Neodiprion lecontei: one gene and its partner. The protein of the gene in region 2 purifies or fractionates together with the protein of the main gene of each other region. This does not show direct contact. Links are inferred from orthologs where the notes say so. Each region holds a gene or a part of one and is shown on either strand. Other genes may lie near its edges.

Evidence for each region. Proteins that work in one complex are often made in the same cells at the same time.
Region 1: the proteins of RNA cytidine acetyltransferase (region 2) and THUMP domain-containing protein 1 homolog purify together in Homo sapiens (co-immunoprecipitation; 3 studies listed by BioGRID and IntAct, counting the BioPlex papers as one, with this or other methods). This does not show direct contact. The link is inferred for Neodiprion lecontei from reciprocal best matches to the Homo sapiens genes NAT10 and THUMPD1.

What each region holds. Positions count from the first base shown.
Region 1 is NC_060262.1:19,551,146-19,562,988, forward strand, and holds THUMP domain-containing protein 1 homolog, read right to left. Parts: upstream 8,096-11,843; 5' UTR 7,909-8,095; coding exon 7,717-7,908; intron 6,213-7,716; coding exon 6,030-6,212; intron 5,925-6,029; coding exon 5,680-5,924; intron 3,866-5,679; coding exon 3,640-3,865; intron 2,868-3,639; coding exon 2,754-2,867; 3' UTR 2,339-2,753; downstream 1-2,338. Other genes in the region: ecto-NOX disulfide-thiol exchanger 2, read right to left, coding at 2,011-2,062. UniProt on the Homo sapiens protein: Functions as a tRNA-binding adapter to mediate NAT10-dependent tRNA acetylation modifying cytidine to N4-acetylcytidine (ac4C).
Region 2 is NC_060265.1:2,753,377-2,762,221, forward strand, and holds the start of RNA cytidine acetyltransferase, read left to right. Parts: upstream 1-3,982; intron 3,983-4,344; coding exon of another isoform or gene 4,345-4,502; exon of another isoform or gene 4,503-4,568; intron 4,569-4,745; 5' UTR 4,746-4,952; intron 4,953-5,231; exon of another isoform or gene 5,232-5,420; intron 5,421-5,679; 5' UTR 5,680-5,901; coding exon 5,902-6,009; intron 6,010-6,135; coding exon 6,136-6,399; intron 6,400-6,520; coding exon 6,521-6,679; intron 6,680-6,757; coding exon 6,758-6,994; intron 6,995-7,177; coding exon 7,178-7,382; intron 7,383-7,472; coding exon 7,473-7,594; intron 7,595-7,678; coding exon 7,679-7,815; intron 7,816-7,894; coding exon 7,895-8,179; intron 8,180-8,274; coding exon 8,275-8,356; intron 8,357-8,479; coding exon 8,480-8,596; intron 8,597-8,668; coding exon 8,669-8,845. Other genes in the region: ionotropic receptor 75a, read right to left, coding at 1,287-1,536, 1,768-1,883, 1,992-2,156, 2,224-2,435, 2,539-2,774, 2,848-3,015, 3,134-3,258, 3,381-3,692 and 2 more. UniProt on the Homo sapiens protein: RNA cytidine acetyltransferase that catalyzes the formation of N(4)-acetylcytidine (ac4C) modification on mRNAs, 18S rRNA and tRNAs.

The DNA.
Region 1 (11,843 bases), on a different chromosome or scaffold from region 2:
GCCCTAGACTTTTACTGCTGCCTATAATCTTGAAAAACTCAATCATTTTTTTTGTGGTTTGTGGGCAATGGAATTGGGAATCCATGCATTTTTGTGATCATGACTACATTATTACATCCACCCTGGATATTCCTATACTGTCTTCTGCTACGTGCAGATTTGATGTGGTATTTGCTTTTAAAATCTTAAGTAATAATATCGATTGTACTGAACTGATTTGTAAATTCTGTTTCTTTGTTCGGATTTGGCCTTTGCAGCGTAGCAATTTTTGATTCTACCCTAATTATAATCATGACTCTAGCTAGCCTATTATTAGGCTTTCATCGCTTTGTAACGAAAATGCTGAGTGACTTGACATACATAACTCAACCTTGCATATCGTCTCTCGTCAATCACGCAAACTGTTTTCATATAATTAGCGACTCTATTATACTATTTCTTTAAGTGTTAAGGATTTTTTTTTCTTCCTATGTACCACCATGTAAAATGCTTTTTTATTTTATTGTTTTATCCTTATACTATGTAAAAGGAAATTAACTCATTAAGACAAATAAATAAATCAATTTTAACCTGATTTTGGCTTTTACAACCATTGATGAACACATCAAACTATTTGTCAAAGAATCACAAGTTATTTGATGAAATTGATGATTATTACATCAAAACCAAACTAAGTTATTACAGTAAAGAATCGATTTGCAGACAACGAAGAAATTATTTAAGGCATTGCTTCAATAAAAACATTATTTTAAATGAAGTTTAACTTCAGGATGTTATTGTAATGATGTATAGTTAAATTAACTTTAGGTTCATCTGAAATTGAGCAGGTCATAATGAAACAAAATATACTCTCGGTTAATGGACAGTGATATGTTGACTGCTGAATTGTCAAGGGTAACACAGACTCGAAAGATAGGCACATTGTTAATATACTGTCAGATTGCAGGTTTAATGTTCTTGTCTCTTTAATAGCCTCAAAACATAAGGCTGAAATTCGCCATGCTAACAATACATTTTTGGGAAAAATCGTTACTTGGTAATCGTTTAAAATTTACAATTAGTTAAAAAAAAAAGCAAAGCTATCTCAACTTCTACAAAGTTATTCCACAGATTTATTTTCAATGTTCCGTTATGTTAACATTGCTTTCTTCAACTTTACATAAAAATCTGTTTGGACATGAAATTAAATACAGTGTTTGAAATGAATATTATAAAACTGTCGAAGTGCATAAGGTATTTCTTCAATTATTAGTTTTGTGAATGTTAGAGGTTAAGTCGTACCCATCGGAGGCATCGGTGTTGCTGGCATTCCTGGGAAATTGTACGCCATTGTGACTGAGCTTCTTAGCTCCTTACTTTGTTGTAAACAATAACAATTTTTTTACCGGTATGATAGAATCTCTCATGAGTAAGTTTTAGCACGCATTGAACTGGACAGCGCGTGGTCGATATGCAGCGTAACTTAGCGTCCACACAATATGACAGCAACGATGACAACTCATATGAAACGAAACAGAATCACGGAAGAGTAAAGACCGTGATCACGGTCAACGAGTCGTTTATCAAAACACACTGAACTACACTTAGTAAACATAAAACTGATTACCGAACATCACTTAAGCACTCTCATTTTCAGCACACATATACTACCGAAGAACATAGAGGTATCAAGGCATGTGTATGTCTGTGATGCTTAGATAGATTCTGACATGTGATATCCCTAGGAATTCTTCGGTATTGAATGAGCACTGTTTGCATTGCCGGCCGCCCGCCGTAGACTCTTTTTTGTTTTCTTCTCGACATCAAATGCGCCACTGGTAGTGCAAACGGTGCTCACCCCAGCTCATCCAACATCGTGGATTGTAAAATTCCTAGGGATATCGAAGTGCCAAAATCTATCTAATAGATTCCGACGATCGGCCCTGCATGGGACGGCACCTTTTAGAGCATATACCATCAGAATCAATTTAAAGTGATGAATATCACTATACAAATAAAATTCATTATTACCTTCCCCTTCAGGCCACCCTGGAATTGCGTGTTTAACGGCTGCTGCAGTCATATAACGTGAAAAATTCTCCAATACTTTTTTTCGGTACAAATGTTGGTTTTATATTTAATTACTCTTTTCTCATACGGGTGAGCCTTTCCGTTTTGTATTTTGGCTACTCTCATATAATTCCGCAAGTTGCGCAGTAGTCAAAATTTTCAAAGGGTGCATAATTTTTACATCATTCATGAAAAAGACGCATGTAATGGGTGGGTACTGCAGTTGTAGCACCTCACTTGAAGCCTAGACTGATTGGGGCATGTGGGAACAACAGTTAGAGAAAAAGTATACTTGTAAATTTTACGCAAACGAACATTTGCGATGATAAGTTTCCTTCGTTGGGAAAATTCACTTTGCCTGGCATGGCTACATTATCTTGACCTGTGGCGATCTGTACTTCACAGATATTTATCCTGATAAATATTACAAAATTAGAATAACTTTCAATTGTTCTAAAGTAATCACAGCAGGTCAGAGTATAAGAAACGATAACATTTTACATAGTTGACAATGTAATGAAATTTTCTATCGAAAAGTGTTCAAGCAAGTAGATTACTACTGTTCTTGACCGATAAATGTATATGAAATATTACCGATGTACATAAAAACTCGAATAAAGAATGTGGTTGTTGTTATTATTATCATTTTATAGGAAATCATTGAATCCTGCAATAGTAATCCTCTTGTTGATTTTCTTTTAGCATTAGACGTCAACTGGCAACTCTACTGGTTTATCACTTTTTGACTCCTCTGTTTCTGTGGATTCTTCTTCTGGCTTAGAATGCATTGGTTCTGGTGATGCAACGTTAGCAGACTCCTATAAAAATGTTGATTGTGTTACATGTCTATAAGATTCAAGAATTAGCTTTCATGAAAGAAAAATCCAAATGGCATATCTTGACAAATCACCATTAGTTGAATATAGTTGGAAACATTCCCTGACTTTCCTTCACATAAGAAAATTTTTCCCTGACTAAATTTCAAACGGATATTGCTAATTCAAGTATCTAATCAACAAATCTCCGACTCAATCTTTAATCAAAAATACATCAAAAATCTAATTAGTGGTGGCAGGAACAAGTATTTGAAAGAGGAAAATATTCTTTTGCCACTGCCTAGCCATTTCGAGTAAGGCTCGGCTGCCTTGTGGACGAAAATATTTGCAGGATAGGATGATACCAATAGTATTCATTTTCCACATGCGCAGTCGGTTACTTAACCTGCCAAGTTTCAATGTTTCTTCGCAGTATGAGTAAGGCAAAATGATAACTAGATTCGTCAGATTCTTGGTTAGTGTTTGCCGTTCCGAATATTGATAATTTGGGAGAATAAATTGGGAAGAGAGCTTGCAGTCTCAACTACTGCTTTATACGGGAGTAATAACACAACTCAATACCACGAATTTTTGTACAAATGATTGTTAACCAATGAGTTCAATAATCTCCCAAGTACTCTGTATAAATATACAGTCTATTAGAGTTGGAATAAAATTTGTAAACTATTATTAATGCAATTTTAATGATTGGCGAATTTCAAGAATGTAATAAATAAGTTTTCAACTTATCTTAGTTGAATAGTAAAATGCAAACCTTTTTATCTGATTCCCTGACTCCACATATTTCCAGTAAATTGTACTTCTTGTATTTATAATAACTGGGAGCTATTGACAGCAGACATACTCCACGTATCACTTCTACAACAACGGCAAGTTCAGGATTTTTTAGGTCTGCTTTATTGCCGGGATTTTTTTTTGCGATGATGTCAGCCAAATCTTCTATTAATTCACCCCGTTTGATGCTGTTATTGCTGTGCCGACTAAAATGAAAATATGATGATTACAAACAGATTTTATTAGAACCAGAATACTATTTGCAATCTGTGCCGTAATTTCTCACATTACAGTACTGTTTGTAGACCTAGAAATAAGTGCGAATGTTTTTAATTTTGATTATATGATACACTCCTTACATGTGTAATTGTAATCATAAGATTAAACTTTCGTTCGTAAATGCTTATTGTTGTAAATGATATGAATAATTATTATAAATAATGATTTGATGAAGTAGCGTGAATTCACGTATCTGTATCGAGGTAGTCCAAATAATAGTAAATTTAGTTCTGTCATCACCCCACCCTTTTCCTTTCTCCTTTTTCGTGAATATGTCCTCACAAATTCACCACTCTGAATTTTTTTAGATTTTTGTTTGCGAAGCAATTCAAAACACAAATAATTAATTGACCTATGGAGTGTTAAAGTTAAGATAGTACATATTTTACATAGTAACAGATATGACGTTCTCAAGGAGGGTTCTCAGTGTCAGGGGTAGGTAGCAAAACTGACTGAAGCCAATCAGTTGGTCTTCAAAGACCGTTTGCAAAAAACTTGTATTATAATAGGTATGTTATAACTTAAATATGTAAACAGTGGATTCAATTGTGTTTATAGATATACTTGTTATACTGAAAAACTACGATATGGTGTATCCGTAGGCATAGAAATGAATGGTAGAAGTGCAATGTATTTTTTAAAAAAGACAAGTTATTTATATGGGGTTCTTAAGTTAGAAGAGCAAAAAGAAAGTACTGGTGAACTTACTATACTGAAACTGGGTGAGGTGCCAAAATCTGGCCAGATCAAATCTCATTCCAAATATATGAACACAAGGAGTTTAATTTAATTAAATTAAAATCAGCTATAAGCGTTTGAGCTCTTATTTTTATCCTTTACTCTATGTTTTGAAAAGTACAAAGATATCAAAAGACAATCAAAATAATACAAATTCGTGTTATGTCCACTCTACTTTCCATGCGTCACTTATCCCAATGACCATTCACACTACATGATAAATTGTAAGCCTGTGCTACCTACCCGGTTACACTGTCAGCTCTGAAGATAATTCCTTGAAAAAAGAAAAGGAGAATACGTTCTTGAGATTAAATTACAAGTTTCGATATATTTTGCAATGTATCCCACTTTTCAAATTTCAAGAAACTGGAATATTGTCTAAATAATTAAAATATTATCTTCTTTCAACTTGCATTGTTCGCTATCAGCGAATATGAATCAGTCTAAATTCATGGTAACAGTGAATAGTTACTGATTTCTGAATGTAAGTATACCACTGGGAAAATTAGTACTTAAAATACTACTGTGAAACCATCTATTTTATCTATTCACTGATAGCAGCAAATCGTCACTGATTCCGAATTGGAGAGGGCAATGGTATTTCTTTGCAAATGACTTGGTAAAATTCACGAATGTACGAAATTTATCTCCCTGACATATCTACGGTAATGCGAAGTGAAAAAATACCTGCAAATTGATAGAGTTATTGCAGTCAAGAAAGCCATTATTTATTCAATCCAATCATCCACCTATCTCATCAGCCATCCGTCCGTCCATCCATTCATAAATCATTCATTTCATAATATACGAGTGAGTTCTGTAGTAAAATCTATTCGATTTCCCATAACGTTGACAATTTAGGTGTTCCATTATGTCGCAACTGTTGTAAATTTTACAGAGAAATGAAATGTACCATTATATTTTTCACTGTGATTATTTATTTATTCATTAACTGACTAATTTTGGTGCAATGAGAAAACTACTGTAAGTAAAAAATACGTACTTGAATATGATGGCAAATGTTTTTGGCTCTTGGGCAAAATATTTTTCAAACAATGTGTTGGCCTTCAATTTTATGTCATCCATGTACGCCTTACAAACAATTTCAACGGGCAGCAACCGCATCAGATATCGGGTTCTCTGTTTTTTTGTTTCATACAATTCTTTGATGATAGTAGAAACTAATTCCAGCGGATTAGGTATGGTTGTTCTAATAAAAACGACACTTTTTACACCTGTGTCTACAACCTGTAAATGCATAAAATGCAGTTTACTTTTTACGTTACATTATTTTATTATAGTAATTTTTTTTCAATCTATCTGCTTTTACATTAGTTATGACAAACCACTTACTTGGAAACGACGTAAATTCACAGGCTTTTGAGATTCTGCCTTCAGTTCAGCAACTTCTTTCTTCAATGCTTCTGAAATATCCACTGAATCTTCCTCTTCCTGTGATATTTTCTCATTACCATTTTCTGTCTCATTTTGTTCAGTAGAGGCTGTTTCATCTGATGCTCGCGTACAAAGCTCAGTCTGTAAATTTGTTTGAAGAGCTGATGAGTTTAACCATACCATGACATAATAAAGGATTAAATTACAGAATAATCTCATCGGTCTAGGAACTTCTATACTGTTAACATTGCTGTACGTAGGCCACTTGTTAGGCTTGTTTTTAGTTCAACATGTGTGCTAAACGCAGAACCACTTTTAAGAAGATGTGTGTATGACAAAGAATTAGAGATAAGGTTCAAGTTCATAACGTTAACATAATGATGCATTCATAGAAATACTCGTTATTTCACAATTCTAGGATTGTGTAAAATCCACTAAAACATAATATTGCATTAAGACACTTGTGATATTGTGATATATCAATTTCTTTAAAGTCAGTTTAGAACTGGAAAATGGTGATTTTTCTTACATTTCGTTACATTAACGTTACTAACTTTAACTTCGCTACCCTTTCTATTCTCAAAAGTTCAACAAAGACAGTTTATTCTGAACATTTCTGAACAGCTGATTTTCTAACAACAATACAATCTTATATGACCAATGACTTCATCTCACTAGATCTGCCAACTGATACGTTGACATGTGTGAATGAGATGCTGATGATGTACTGAGATCATTTTAATAACTTGAAGGTCATTTGTGTAACTATTGAATCAACAAAGTATCTACTCGCATTACAAAGTGAACCTTCACAGAAAATTTTGGATACTCCAGATATGTTAAATGTTCAAGACTCCTTGATTTTTACAATAAATTGGAATGTCCGAATTTAAGGCATCTTGAAATTGAGTGACAAGTGTTAGATTAAGTTCGACCTCTGTTAAACGTTCATTATAATTTCGATAAATGGTCGTATTGTAACGAAGTTCACACCTCTTATACACGCATGGCTGATGCCGATCTAATATTCATAAAATGTTTAATCACTTGTTTAATGTGTGGTTACTTGGCCAATTAATATGGCTGTAATAAAAGTCAGTCTTCAGACTTTAACGGGAGTACTTTGATTTCAAATCATATCTGCTTTTTCGCATATTATTCTTTGCTGTAAGACTTTTTTCACTCGACGTTTGCTCGATATGCATGAAGAATCATTCATTTTCTTAGAGACAATTCGCAAATTGCTCTTTATTACAGTATGTTATAGCTATTCGAAACCACAATACACACAAGAGGGACAAACTATGCTGCCGGTGTCTGTAATGTTGAAGGAGTGAATTTTTTAAAAATTCTACTTGCATGAAAAATTGGTGTTCTCAAAAGCTTGTTCGAACACTTTATTTTTTCTGAAAAGTTTGGGACACACAAACGTTTGACATATTTAGAGTCTCTACTTCATACAAAGATAAACTTGAATTAAGTGAACGATTACACATACTATTTGGTCTATTTTTTCGGTCAGAATTCTTGCGTGTGTGCAGAAATGAGTTACAGCGAAGACTGATTTTTTTCATTCACAGCTTAAATGCCCAATGTAACTGCATAGTAATTCTAGCTGTCATCTATCAAAATTACTTCATCGTACCTGTTCAATACCATAAAGATTATCTGCATATTCTGACAGTACACTGTACACTTCGCGAACGCAGTCTTTTTCTCGGAAATTACACGTGCAAAAAAAGCCTTTGATTCCTGGCTCCAAATTATACTGTTTCCGTTTCTTCTGATAATTGTGATGTCCTGAATAGTAATTTTTCTTGCGTTTTTGTGAATCCATTTCGACGTTAATTCACTTTATTACTCGATCACTCATTTCTTCACCATCAAACAATACTTCAGATGCTAGAACTGTTTACAGTTCACCGACATACATTCTAGGTTAGGTGAGGTTATGTGTATGTAAGATGATTAGGGCCGTAGACTTTTTTTGCCGCCGACGGCGCGGCGCTGCCGCATCAATTTGTCGTCGCGTCAATTCGAGGGCCGTGAAAATCCAGCTTAAGGACAGATTGTATACTTACTACTTTCAAGATCTCTAGATTATACAGGTCAAGACACGCGTGTTCCAGTTTTTCTCATTATACGTGGGCAAAAATGTTCTATGCGCGTTCGCCCAAAAAATATCAAACTTACATTACCGCATTAACCAGTTTTGACCAATCTTGCGCAATTTTTTGAGGTTAAGCATTAACGAGTTGAGTCCTTAGTGGCCTGACATTCACGAAATAAATAGAAGCACGTATATATTTTGAGGTTAATCATTGTGACAGGTCAGGAATCAGAACCACACCGGGTGCTTTCCATTTAGAGCACAGTGTGACACAGTGTACACATTTCTATTGTAAGCGCTCAATCCGGGCAAAGGAATAGACCAGAAATGTTTACACCGTGTCATGCTGTGCTCTAAATGGAAAGTATCTATTGTCATACGACTTTTGGGGCATTTTCACTAATTTTTTTGCCCACGCGTGTCTTGACCTGTATAATCTAGGGACCTTGACTACTTTGTGCCGACTGTGGCGCTGTAGGTTTCTCTGTGTTGTCAACATAACTGTCTAGTGTAAGAATTAGCCGTGTCAAATTTATTGTCCCCAAGTGTACACATACATACGTGCGCACAAAAAATATAAATATTATTTTTTTCGGAAAGTAAACATTACATGCGGATATATTTTTTAATGAAAATAAATATCTAAGATATTGTTTTAAAATATATAATGTAATAATACAATATCGTATCATATGAACAGTATAATGAGTCAGAGAAGACCTTTCCATAACTTGTCAAAAATACAGCAGAAGAGTCGGGAGAATCTTACAAGTTGTCAATCGATAAGTTTGCCCAACGAATTTCTTCATCAAGATAAGAAATATTCACATGAGGCTGTAAACAAGACTAAAACTCATATTCAGCTTTAAAGCATGACAAATATGCTTGTATAACAATAAGTGATAAGTATTGATGTAGCTTACATCAAATCTTTTACAGGCGACAGTGGCATCTCTAAGACGATCAATTTAGTTTTTCACAGTTTTGTACGAAGTCAAGGTTGAGCTGCGAATACCGGGCGAACAGCATCAAGTGATCAAACTGATAGAGGTTATAGACCCGGTGACCAGCTGAGTAAATTAACCCAAAGAACATTTGGTCTCCAAAGTCCCGTTCGCGAGACACGACCGGTTAAAAAAATCCAGCCAAGTGCGGGCATGAACGCAATCGAGTAAACTAAACGCCAGCATGGGAGCAAACGAGTACTCAGCAGGCAGCGGTTATTGATCTTGTTGATGTGCACTCGGATGCTGATGCAGAACATAACGCTTTCAAATTCACGAATTTTGAAGGAAAACAGTCTTGACTTTAAATTTAGATCGCTAGTCACTGCCTACTGTGTACCCGGTTGCTGACATGCTGGCGCTTGGTGTACTCGGTTGCCTAAATGCCGGCGCTTCGCGGGATTTTATTAATCAGTCGTATCTCGTGAATGCGACTTTGGAGACCACATGTTCTTCAGGTTAATTTACTTAGCTCGACCATCTCTATAGCCCCCATCAGTTTGGTCACTTAATGCTGAGTCACCCTGTATTTTGGAAAAATTTTGAACTACTTCATTTTTAGTTCTCCTCGCTTCAAGAATGTTCCTACGAAGATTTTTTTTTCCTTCTATTGAGCATTTTTAAAATTGTGAATTAAAAAAATTTAATCTCTTAAATTTTCAAAATAGCCGACAAATTCTGAAACACTTTTCTCTTTGCTAGAAGTACATGGAAGATGTCTCAAAGGCTGAACCTATTTTATGAATTTTTCCTAAAATTTGGAAATGGTAATTGGGTTTTAATTGAGAAAAATTATGCAAGTTCTTGAATAACTATAAAAATGAATAATGGAAATGAATCTAACATAAGGTTCGTTGCAAATTAATTGGAATGAAGAATAAACGTCTTGTGAATTTAGTTTAAATTTTGATAATCTGTTAACATCGTTTTTCAGTAATATAACTTTTTGGAAATGTGACAAAAAATAGCTAAAAAAATTATTTTACCTTTTGCATAATATTGACGTACTTATCAAACCATATTTTTCTTCTCAATTGTTGAAAAGCTAAACGATGAATTCATTTACACGACGGCTGTTATTCTGGTTTCACTATGGCCGATGTAGTAATATCGGATGTAAAAATGCATACTAAAACTGAAATAACAGCGCCGTGTAAACATACTCGTTGTTATTTTCAGTTCATGGTTCTCCAGAGTATTAAAAAAAAACGGTCAAGAATCTTTTTCTCACAGGGCAAATTTTGAAATGTTCAGAATGACACAAAACACACTATTGAAAAATCAACAGCTGTTTTTTAATAACTGATTTTCAAGGGGAATAATCCGATGGCTTTCAAATCATTAAATCCTGTTTCCAACGCAAAGTTATCCGTAAAGTCAATTTTTGTCCTGTCGGTTGTACCTACTACTGTCATCAAAAGATACTCATACTTATAATCTGCTATTCCACATCAAAGGAAATTGAAGCTAGAATAGTTACACCTTGCGCTATTGCACATTTATTTAATTTCATGAATGATTTTCATTGTCGTTTATTCATAACAATTTATAAATTTCACCTCCTCAACACTACAACACTCAGAAAACTTTCAACTTTCGTCCTGAACGACGGAATTGCAAGTGACATCATTATTACCGTACGGAGGAACTTGTAACAAAAAGTCCCGTATTGACGGTAATGTATGGACATTTCGTACATTTCGACAAAATTTCTTGGTGAAAATAGGAAAAAATAATGGTTTTGCCATGAATAACATCTTAAAAATATGAGCGTTTTCTATAATTCCGACTAAATAATATCATCAAGGTTTACGAGGTGTCCGCTAATTACTAGTCAGTATGGGAATTCTTGTTACAAAAAGTTCCTCGATGATAATATAGTTCACTTTCTTCAAGAAATAAAATTTAAAAATTACCCACTATCCTACAGGCAAAATTCAGTAATTCAAATTATTACACAATTGTATCCTCTGGGTAATATTATTATTAGGGGTTACCGGAAAAGTTCTGAAATTCCGGGTAAAATATTATCGCCTTTGTCGGAAATACATATTCTCAAATCCGAAATATCTAATAATCAACGCGGGCACTGCTACAAATGTATAATAAAGTGGTCAGATATGGACAATTTTAATCTGAGCCACTTGATAATAAATTTCTGAACAATCTTATGTTTGGGGATCAGTGGACGAAGTCACAATCTAACCAGGTAATGTAAATAGAAGTTGAAAAAAAGAACCCTGATCATTTTCGAATTTTTTTTAATTACTTTTGTGTCAATGGTTGCCTGAGGTTCATCAGGGTTTGTTACAGCGCGGACTCGAACATTATTAACAATCGAACGTTACCTTATTTCCAAAATGTATTTACAAGTAGTATTTTTATGTAGAATGGTTCGGGTTTTCCGATGCAAATAAACTGTATTTTGTAAAAACCACGGAAATCTAACGTATGTTGAGAAATTATTTTTATACGTCAGCTGCATCTTCGATTTATCTCGTCCATTTTCGATGTCGAAAAGTCCCATAAGGCCATCAGTCTTTATACATCTTCAGTGAACGCTCTGGGACGCCCTGGGTTCACATATTATTCAATAGAATATATATATATATATATATATATATATTTGTTAATCTTTAACATAAAATTGATGCTGTG
Region 2 (8,845 bases):
TTGAAAATAATTATCGTTGCACAAGTGGAAAAGATTTAATGTATTTTTGTGACGTAGTAATTATAATGATATATTTTGTTTTATCGGAATTGTAGGGTAATTCGTTTAATATATGTGAAATGTTGATGCACAGTTTATTGTTTATATGTAAACTGTACAAAGATATCAAACAAATCTTATATACCTAATATAGAATAATCATAATTGATGAAAAATTTTTAAAAGTGCCGGAAGTTATGAAAAAGCGTAAATCGCACTCATATCTAATCGCAGTTTTTAATACTATTTGTAAATAAATAATTATAGGATCAAATACTGTACTTCATACAATTTTTATCAGCTAATGAATTGCATTGAAACGTAATTCAAGCTTATGTAACTGTTTAGAATTTACGTTTCATATTACATTGTAAGACATGTATCGAAAATTGCAGCAAAATGTTGAGAGCAATAGTACCTATTGCTACTAACTATCTATTAAAATGTACATACAAACGCTTTTGCTGTACACAAGACTGTTTGTTAAACATGGATTTGCAAAAGAATATATGTACGTTACATTTTTTGTTCAGATATCAAATCCGAAAATATACCAGGTGGTTATTCTACTGAAGTATATCTAATAACAATCCTCTACCTCCACTTTAAAAATCATAAAAGTGACAAATTAACATTAGTTACACAAATTTTATTAGCTGTGCAAGATATATTGAGAGAAATATATTAAGAGATATTGTGACGTATAAATACCTATAGTTTATTTTGCATGCATATCATCATTTTGTTTATGGTTCATTCACCAGAATTCAACTCAATTTGTTGATTCAAAAAAGACCTATACTTCCCACGTACCTATTTATTCATTTACCAGTACTCGCAATTTAAAATAGAACCAATTAGTGCTGATATAACTAGTGGAAGGATTGAAGTGGTAACTATGCCATAGTGATGTCATTAAGGTCTTTTTTAAATTTAAATTATTGAATTACAAAACTAATGCGTAGTGCATAGTGATGTGTGGAAGTTGGGGAGTGGCGGGGAAAGGACTGGAAAAGACCAACTCCCAAACATCACTATGTATGATTCACCATTGCCATTAAATACCAGATAACAAAACTAATCCTATGTGGAACAGTATAGAGTAATGGTTGGTTAAATTAAATTTTTGAGATAACATCAGTATTTGATGAATTTGTCACATTAAATCAATCTCTACTTTCTACAAACACAACATTATATTTCTCGGTCGACTGCATATAATATTTATAAAATTTTCAACTAGTAGTTCATTGTGATTTTCGCATAAATTGTCCAATAATCCAACTACATGGAATACCCTGTTTAACAAAGTATTCTATAAAGAATACTGTAGCTGCCCCGATAGCTCCGAATAACAGTAAAAACAATGCCGGTATAAATTCTCCAACTGGAATTTGAACAGGTTTCAACTTGTAGCTTGCAGGACAGAGTGGCTGTCTGTACCGCCATACATGTTTTATCCTCTCTCCTATTCCATGTTCAATAATTTGACGCAGTCTGTAAAGGACGTTTACAGTTCGAGTTATTGAACCAATAAATTTTTGTCATTTTTATCTCATGTTTTCGAGGATGCACACCATAGGATATTTAACACAGGCCCATGTAGAAGCAATAGCTCGAGACAAAAGAAAGTAGACCAAGTTACCTAAATGCAGTGGGTACTCGAAAACACAGGATATATGCCATGTATCAAAAGTATTTCTGTTAAATATGATTGAATGTACAGACCCATAGGTGACCATTTTTTTGAACGGGGAATGTTTACTAGTAACAGTGCCAAGATGCGGAGCAGGAAATAATGTAATTTCAACTAGATCACAAATTTCATCTTCAGTAAATTCATCCTAGAAATAATTATTAGATAAAATCAAATTAGATAGTAGATAATTATTCATTACATTCATATATGCATATGTTGTTATATGTTATGATATATTGAGCTGGTCTCTTGCCGTTATAAATTTATACGCAGAATCAACATCCGTGTGATAAGCAAAATTGCCCTTTTGCACTCTACGGAGCCCGTCGGTTACATTGAAGTAGGCGGCATATTTTCGACCTTTTCCAGGTGCAACTTTGCGCCTATAAAGTTCCAGGGCAATCGGATCTGTTGTAGTCTGCCAAGAAATAGTTGCACCGTTATCGTTCCATGGATAGTATGCAAGCGAATGAGAATTCCCTTACCGCAAAATGGTTGCGAGTGTAGGCGATGTCTTCAAGCCCTACAGGCATATCACTATCCAATAGATCTTGCAGTGTTTTAATGTATCGTGGCGGTTCTGCCAATAAAGAACCAACAATACTTGCTGAATAATACTGGTAGAGTAAGAGAGTCCACAAAAATAGTGAGAGGAATACCAAACGCCCAGAGTAAAGCTGAGGACCGTCCGATAAACCTAGATTATCAAGTCAGACTTATCCCATCTCATCTCCAACAACTTTGATGAATAAACTGGACATAAGCAATATATTGGTCAACTGCAGTAAATTTATTTTTACCCTGTTGGCATGCAGCAGCCAATGTAATCAAAGCTGTTTCAGATCCTGTATGCGAGTATAGAGTGTTAAGCGGTGGGTGATCTCGAAAATGGATTTCAACTCTTGCTGTGAGCCAGAGTAGAATCCAACTTAGTACAGCCATGATAATAGTGAAATACCAGACCTCCTTCTTAAATGGCTTTAAAAATCCATTGTGAACTGTACGCTTTTTTGGATGGCGAAATATGAAACAGCCTCTGTAAGAAATAGAAATTATATTAAGGGGCGATAAATGTTTAATTATGAGGTCATATTGCCAGGTTGAACAACTTTGCCATGTATGTTTGTACTGTAAACTCCGACACTTTGAGACGTTCATTTTTGAACATTATCGGACTTCCTCCAATGTCAGCAATTCCGGCAATCAGATCTCCTACCATACCATTATACGATCCGTTTATCAAGTAGCCCCAGCTATCCGTTAGTTTCAAATGAATTCTATTTATGTGGAAAAACAACGTATTTTTATTTGTTGTGCATGTAAAAAACGAGCGACTGTTACGTCAAGATCTTTGTGTGAATCTTGTCGAGAATTCAAACAGTTGAAAATACTTGCGTGAAATTGTAATAATCTTGTAAATTTCGGATCAGTGCGTAGTTGTAGCGATGCATTGTGTCGAGGTGTCGATTAATTGGATTTGTCATGTAAGTTGTGAAATCTGGAGTTGGCTCATGTAGAAGCTGAGAACAAAAAAAATTTCTGATCAGCTAGGCATCCTATGAACAAGTAATGCTGACAGAGGAAGAGAAAAATGCGGAGATACTGGAAATATTTTTTTTTCTAAATTATTCATTGTACGAACAACAAGTGACACATTAATACAGAGACCCTCCAAGTTCGCACGCCGTTGATACTTGTACTGAGTAAGTTTAATGTCCAGACCACTGTACTGATTCCATTTTCCCATGTATGTTACATTTAATATTCCGCCGTGTCTGTAACTTGGGTTGTAGACATCATACAAGATGTAATCCAATCCACTTTTTACAGCTACTGACATTTCCGTATCTATGGTCAGTGGCAGGTCATGGAGCGTTGTGATAGGAGGTGTATCTAGTTTGGTTACCAATAACCAGTGATAACTTTGATTATATGGAAGTTGCTGCCTTGAAAACTGAAAAATATTGATTAATTAGTATCCAGAGGTATGAAAGTGCATTTCAAGTATAAATACATATATAATATAGGTTGAAAAAGATTTGTAACTCAAGCTCACTTCTGACAGAACAGAGTCGCTGTATCGGCAGTCCAAGTTGAGGATTATACCAAGAGTGTAATAATTAACAGTTAACAATCTTCTCATGTCCAAAGCATCGGATGGTATGGGAATGTACGTAAGTTTCAGCTTAGATACCGTGGAGTGGTGATAAAAATTTACCTGCTCTGTTGACCAATGCAACCAAGGTAAAATTAGTGATAATGTAATTGTTCTTTCCCTACCTAAAACAATCCATCTGAATTTTCATAATAAATCTTGAGACAAGTTTCCACAAGGAATTTTATTTTGCCTATAATAACAGATACCAATATTGACATCTGATTCATACGTAGGAATCCTATAGAAAATGAATTAACATTCCATAGACGTTTCTCAAACTTAAAAATTATGGGAATGAACATGAATTTTTAAAATAAGGTCTCAAACGGTTTGGGTTAGAACAGTTTGACATTCTCTCAAGCAATTTGCTTATAGTGTTATAATCTAATTATGAAGATTCATTTCGTGAACAAATTCTATTCAGAATAACTCGACGAAAAAGTAATACCCATTAGTCCTACCATGGGTATCCCAACAAGCGAAAACTGTGACCTGACGTATGAATTTTCTTTCGAAAAAGTCAATTGTGAGCTTTTGAATTTCATAATTGTTGGCGTGTACACGAACCAAGATAGCAATGAAAAAAAATAGATATAAAGAGCTCATTTGGCAAGTATTAAAGATCTCTACTGGCGACTATTTAACGAATCTTCACTCTACAAATGACTTTCTGAATCTAACTTCTTAAATGTCAAACAACCGCCGTTTCATGTCATACTCAAAGGACGTTTACTCATTCATTATGAAATAAGTATTAAAGCTCGTTCCATTTCCTTGTCACTATACATCTTTTACAATTCGATAATTTCGTGTGTACATATACATAGCGAACACATCATTTCATTCCAGAACATAGCATAATTGAGGAGTTAACATACATCAACAAGGAGCGGAACTCTTCAAATATCCGTGCATTCTATCATCTTGTAAAATATGGGGTTCTCTGGGCTGCAATTTTTCCTGCCGAAGAAATATCCTGCCTACTCAATAATTCATCGATACCCTCAGCGGATGTAATGAGCACCTTGCTCACCGCGGACCACGAGCTTCCAGCTGGTATGATGATCAGGTCGTGTTTATTGATGAAAATCTCCGAGCAAATAATATCAGTAGAATACTCAATTCTCGACGCTCATTCGGGTGCAAAATCAAAAAACAACATTTTATGTATATTGAGAAATGTTATTCAATACTTCGATTATTCGCCTTATCACAGGCAACCCAATTGGCTTTTCTGTACGTTGAGTTGCTTTCGTATCGTATGATCATCACCATCCCTGCCAGTTTTTCCAATCGTACGATCAGGATCGTATTGGTACAGTAATTTTACCTCCTGTACGGACATACGGTTCAGTTGCTTGATCGTAACCGCGATTCAGCCTCCGATATTGCAAAAGAATCAGGTACAGAAGTATGAAGGAACTGTCCCAGTAATTCACATTTCGGGTTATATGTGTTTCATTATTGATTCGAAAATAAATAAATAAATGTTTTCTACAAATCTCTACCAATTGCGTCGTGTAAGTAAGTAATTCATCATTTTTATCGTTAGTTTCATGAAGACTAGCTAGTCTCCATGATTAGCTTCAAATATTCTTGAACGCAAAAATGTAAATAATTTGGTTAAAACCTGTCTGGCCTTTGAGAAAAGAAGCAAAATCGTGATAATTATACGACCGTAGAAAAAAAAGAACAAAAATGTACTTCCGTTGACTGAAAATATATATCGTGAAATCTTTGTACAGTTCCGAAATTTTAAAGTAAAGTCCATCTTCACTTTCAGTACGACCTGTTGCTACCAGAGGGCTGGCAACGCTGATCCCTGATGCTGCTCAATGCTGCTGCTCAGTTTTATTTTCGACTCGTACCTGTGGTGTACGTCTGCTTGTGCCGCTGCGCGTGGTTTGTCAACTTAACCTCAAACTTCTACTTGAATTTAGAAAGTGTAATACGTAAGGTTTTGATTTTATAATATAACTTGATTTTGTGAAAAATCTGTATAAGTATGGTGCGAAAAAAGATAGATAACAGGATTCGCATCTTAATCGAGAATGGAGTCAAGTTCGGTCACAGAACAATGTTCGTTGTTGTCGGTGATAAAGCGCGTGATCAGGTAAGCACTGTCACTAGGTAACAGAATTTAAACTCTAACAATAGTCAAGTTTTTACCAACAATTGACGTATTAATACAACTCAGTGTCACTAATATAAACTTCCTGGATTCATCGAAATTGGTTAGGTGGTCATACTACATCATATGCTGTCAAAGTCGGTGATCAAAGCACGACCCTCTGTGCTGTGGTGCTATAAAAAAGAACTGGGTTTCAGCAGCCACCGTAAGAAGCGTATGAAGTCATTACAACAAAAGATAAAATCTGGGAAGCTGAACGTCAATGAGGATGATCCTTTTGAATTATTTGTCGTTTCAACTGACATTCGCTACTGCTACTATTCCGAAACACATAAGATTTTGGGCAACACATTTGGCATGTGTGTTCTCCAGGTAAGTCTGATTATCATCATGAGTAAATTACTGCTCTTGCTCTAAGTGGATCTTGATCTTATTGAAAATAGCTCTATGTATTTTTTTATACTTAATATAAGTGACTTCAATGCATTTTCAGGACTTTGAAGCACTAACTCCAAATCTGTTGGCTCGTACGATTGAAACTGTGGAGGGAGGTGGAATAATTGTTTTACTTCTACAATCTCTGAACTCTTTGAAACAGTTATATACAATGACTATGGATGTTCATCAACGTTTTCGCACCGAGGCTCATCAGGTGAAATTAAAAAATAACTCTGATATTCATTCTCACAACTAGCAATATCTTTTATAATTATCGTAAAACATATTTCAGGATGTGGTGTGCAGGTTTAACGAGAGATTTCTACTTTCTCTTGCATCTTGCAACCGTTGTCTTGTTGTAGATGATCAGCTGAGGGTGCTTCCGATATCCTCGCAAAATTTGAAAATTGAAACAGTAGAAACCACCAGAGAATCTGAAGAGCAAAGTGAACTAGACATATTGAAAGATAGCCTTCGTGACACTCAGCCTGTCTCTGCACTTGTTAATTGCTGTAAGACTGTTGACCAGGTGAATATAGTGTGTCTATAATATCTACAAGTTTTCACTGGAGTTGGTAACGAATCTTGCTCTAATAATTTTTCTATCAAATCATCGGCAAAATACTTGGTAAAACTCAGCAATTTTTTTTTTTCAATCCATAGTTGCTACTGATTCACGTTAGGAACAAAATAACATCAAATTTTTTTGTAGGCTAAGGCTTTGCTCACATTTATTGAAACAATATCTGAAAAAACACTTCGATCTACTGTTTCTCTAACCGCTGCCAGAGGACGTGGAAAATCCGCAACAATGGGTCTTGCTGTTGCTGCAGCTGTAGCATTTGGCTACTCTAACATATATGTTTCTAGTCCGAGCCCAGAGAATTTGAATACATTCTTTGATTTTGTTTTTAAAGGCAAGTATCCATTACCCCCATGAATAAATAGTTATCAGTTGACTGATCATTGAACAGTAAACTTTTACATGTACTAGTGTATATTTACAGGATTTGATGCTTTGGCATATCAGGAACATTTAGATTATGGACTTGTACAGTCAACTAATCCAGAATTCAATAAAGCAACTGTTCGGGTAAACATTTTCAGAGACCATCGACAAACCATTCAGGTATGGTAACTTTGTCTGAAATTACTTAATATAGGATAATTCATAGCACATATCCACCTTGACGATATCAATTGATGATTGCAGTATATTTATCCAACCGATGTACAGAAACTAAGTCAAGCAGAGTTGCTTGTAATTGATGAAGCAGCAGCGATACCGTTGCCTTATGTCAAGGCCATGCTAGGTCCTTACTTGGTATTTCTTGCTTCCACAATAAATGGGTAAATTGGATAATCTAACTTATAAATTCTTTCACTTAACTTAAGAAGTTAGTAAATTACATAATATACACATTGACAGGTACGAAGGTACTGGACGATCTTTATCCTTGAAACTGTTGCAACAATTGAGAAGCCAAACGTCGGGATCAAATAAACATGACAAGAGTTTCCAGTCTAGTAAAGATACTCAGACAGTTGGAAGGCAGTTGCATGAACTTACACTTGAAGAATCTATCAGATACAAGTCTGGTGATTCTGTTGAGCAGTGGCTCACTGAACTACTTTGTCTTGATGCAATGACGCAAGCTCCTATTCTTTCTGGTTGTCCACCTCCTGATACTTGTCAATTGTATTACATCAACAGGTAATCCCTATTTTATCTCTGGATTTTCATGTAATAATGCAGAATATAAGCATTAAAAATTTTACATTGAATTATGAACATATTTTGACCTTCAGGGACACTTTATTTTGCTACCACAAAGCTTCGGAAATGTTTTTGCAAAGGTTGGTTGCATTGTACGTCGCTTCACATTATAAAGTAAGTATATGGCTATGTGATATATTTTGTCATATTGCATGAATCGCCGGTATTATATGTATATCTATATATGTATATCGTGATTATTACACCATTTTACAAACGCATAACAAACCTTCACAGAATAGCCCAAATGACCTCCAAATGATGTCGGATGCTCCGGCACACCATTTGTTCTGCTTGTTGGGACCTGTTGACCCAAACAAAAAAGCATTGCCTGAAATATTAGTAGTAATTCAGGTTTGTATCCATTGTCTTATTTAGTATACATGATACCTGTACACAATGTCTGACAACAATCTTTTCCTGCAGTTATGCTTAGAAGGTCAAGTCAGCAAATCTACGGTTGCAGATGGTCTTGGAAGAGGACGGAGAGCTGCTGGTGATCTTATTCCGTGGACTATTGCTCAGCAGTATCAAGATCAGGACTTTCCTACACTTGCAGGAGCGCGAATTGTCAGAATTGCAACACACCCTGATTATCAGGCG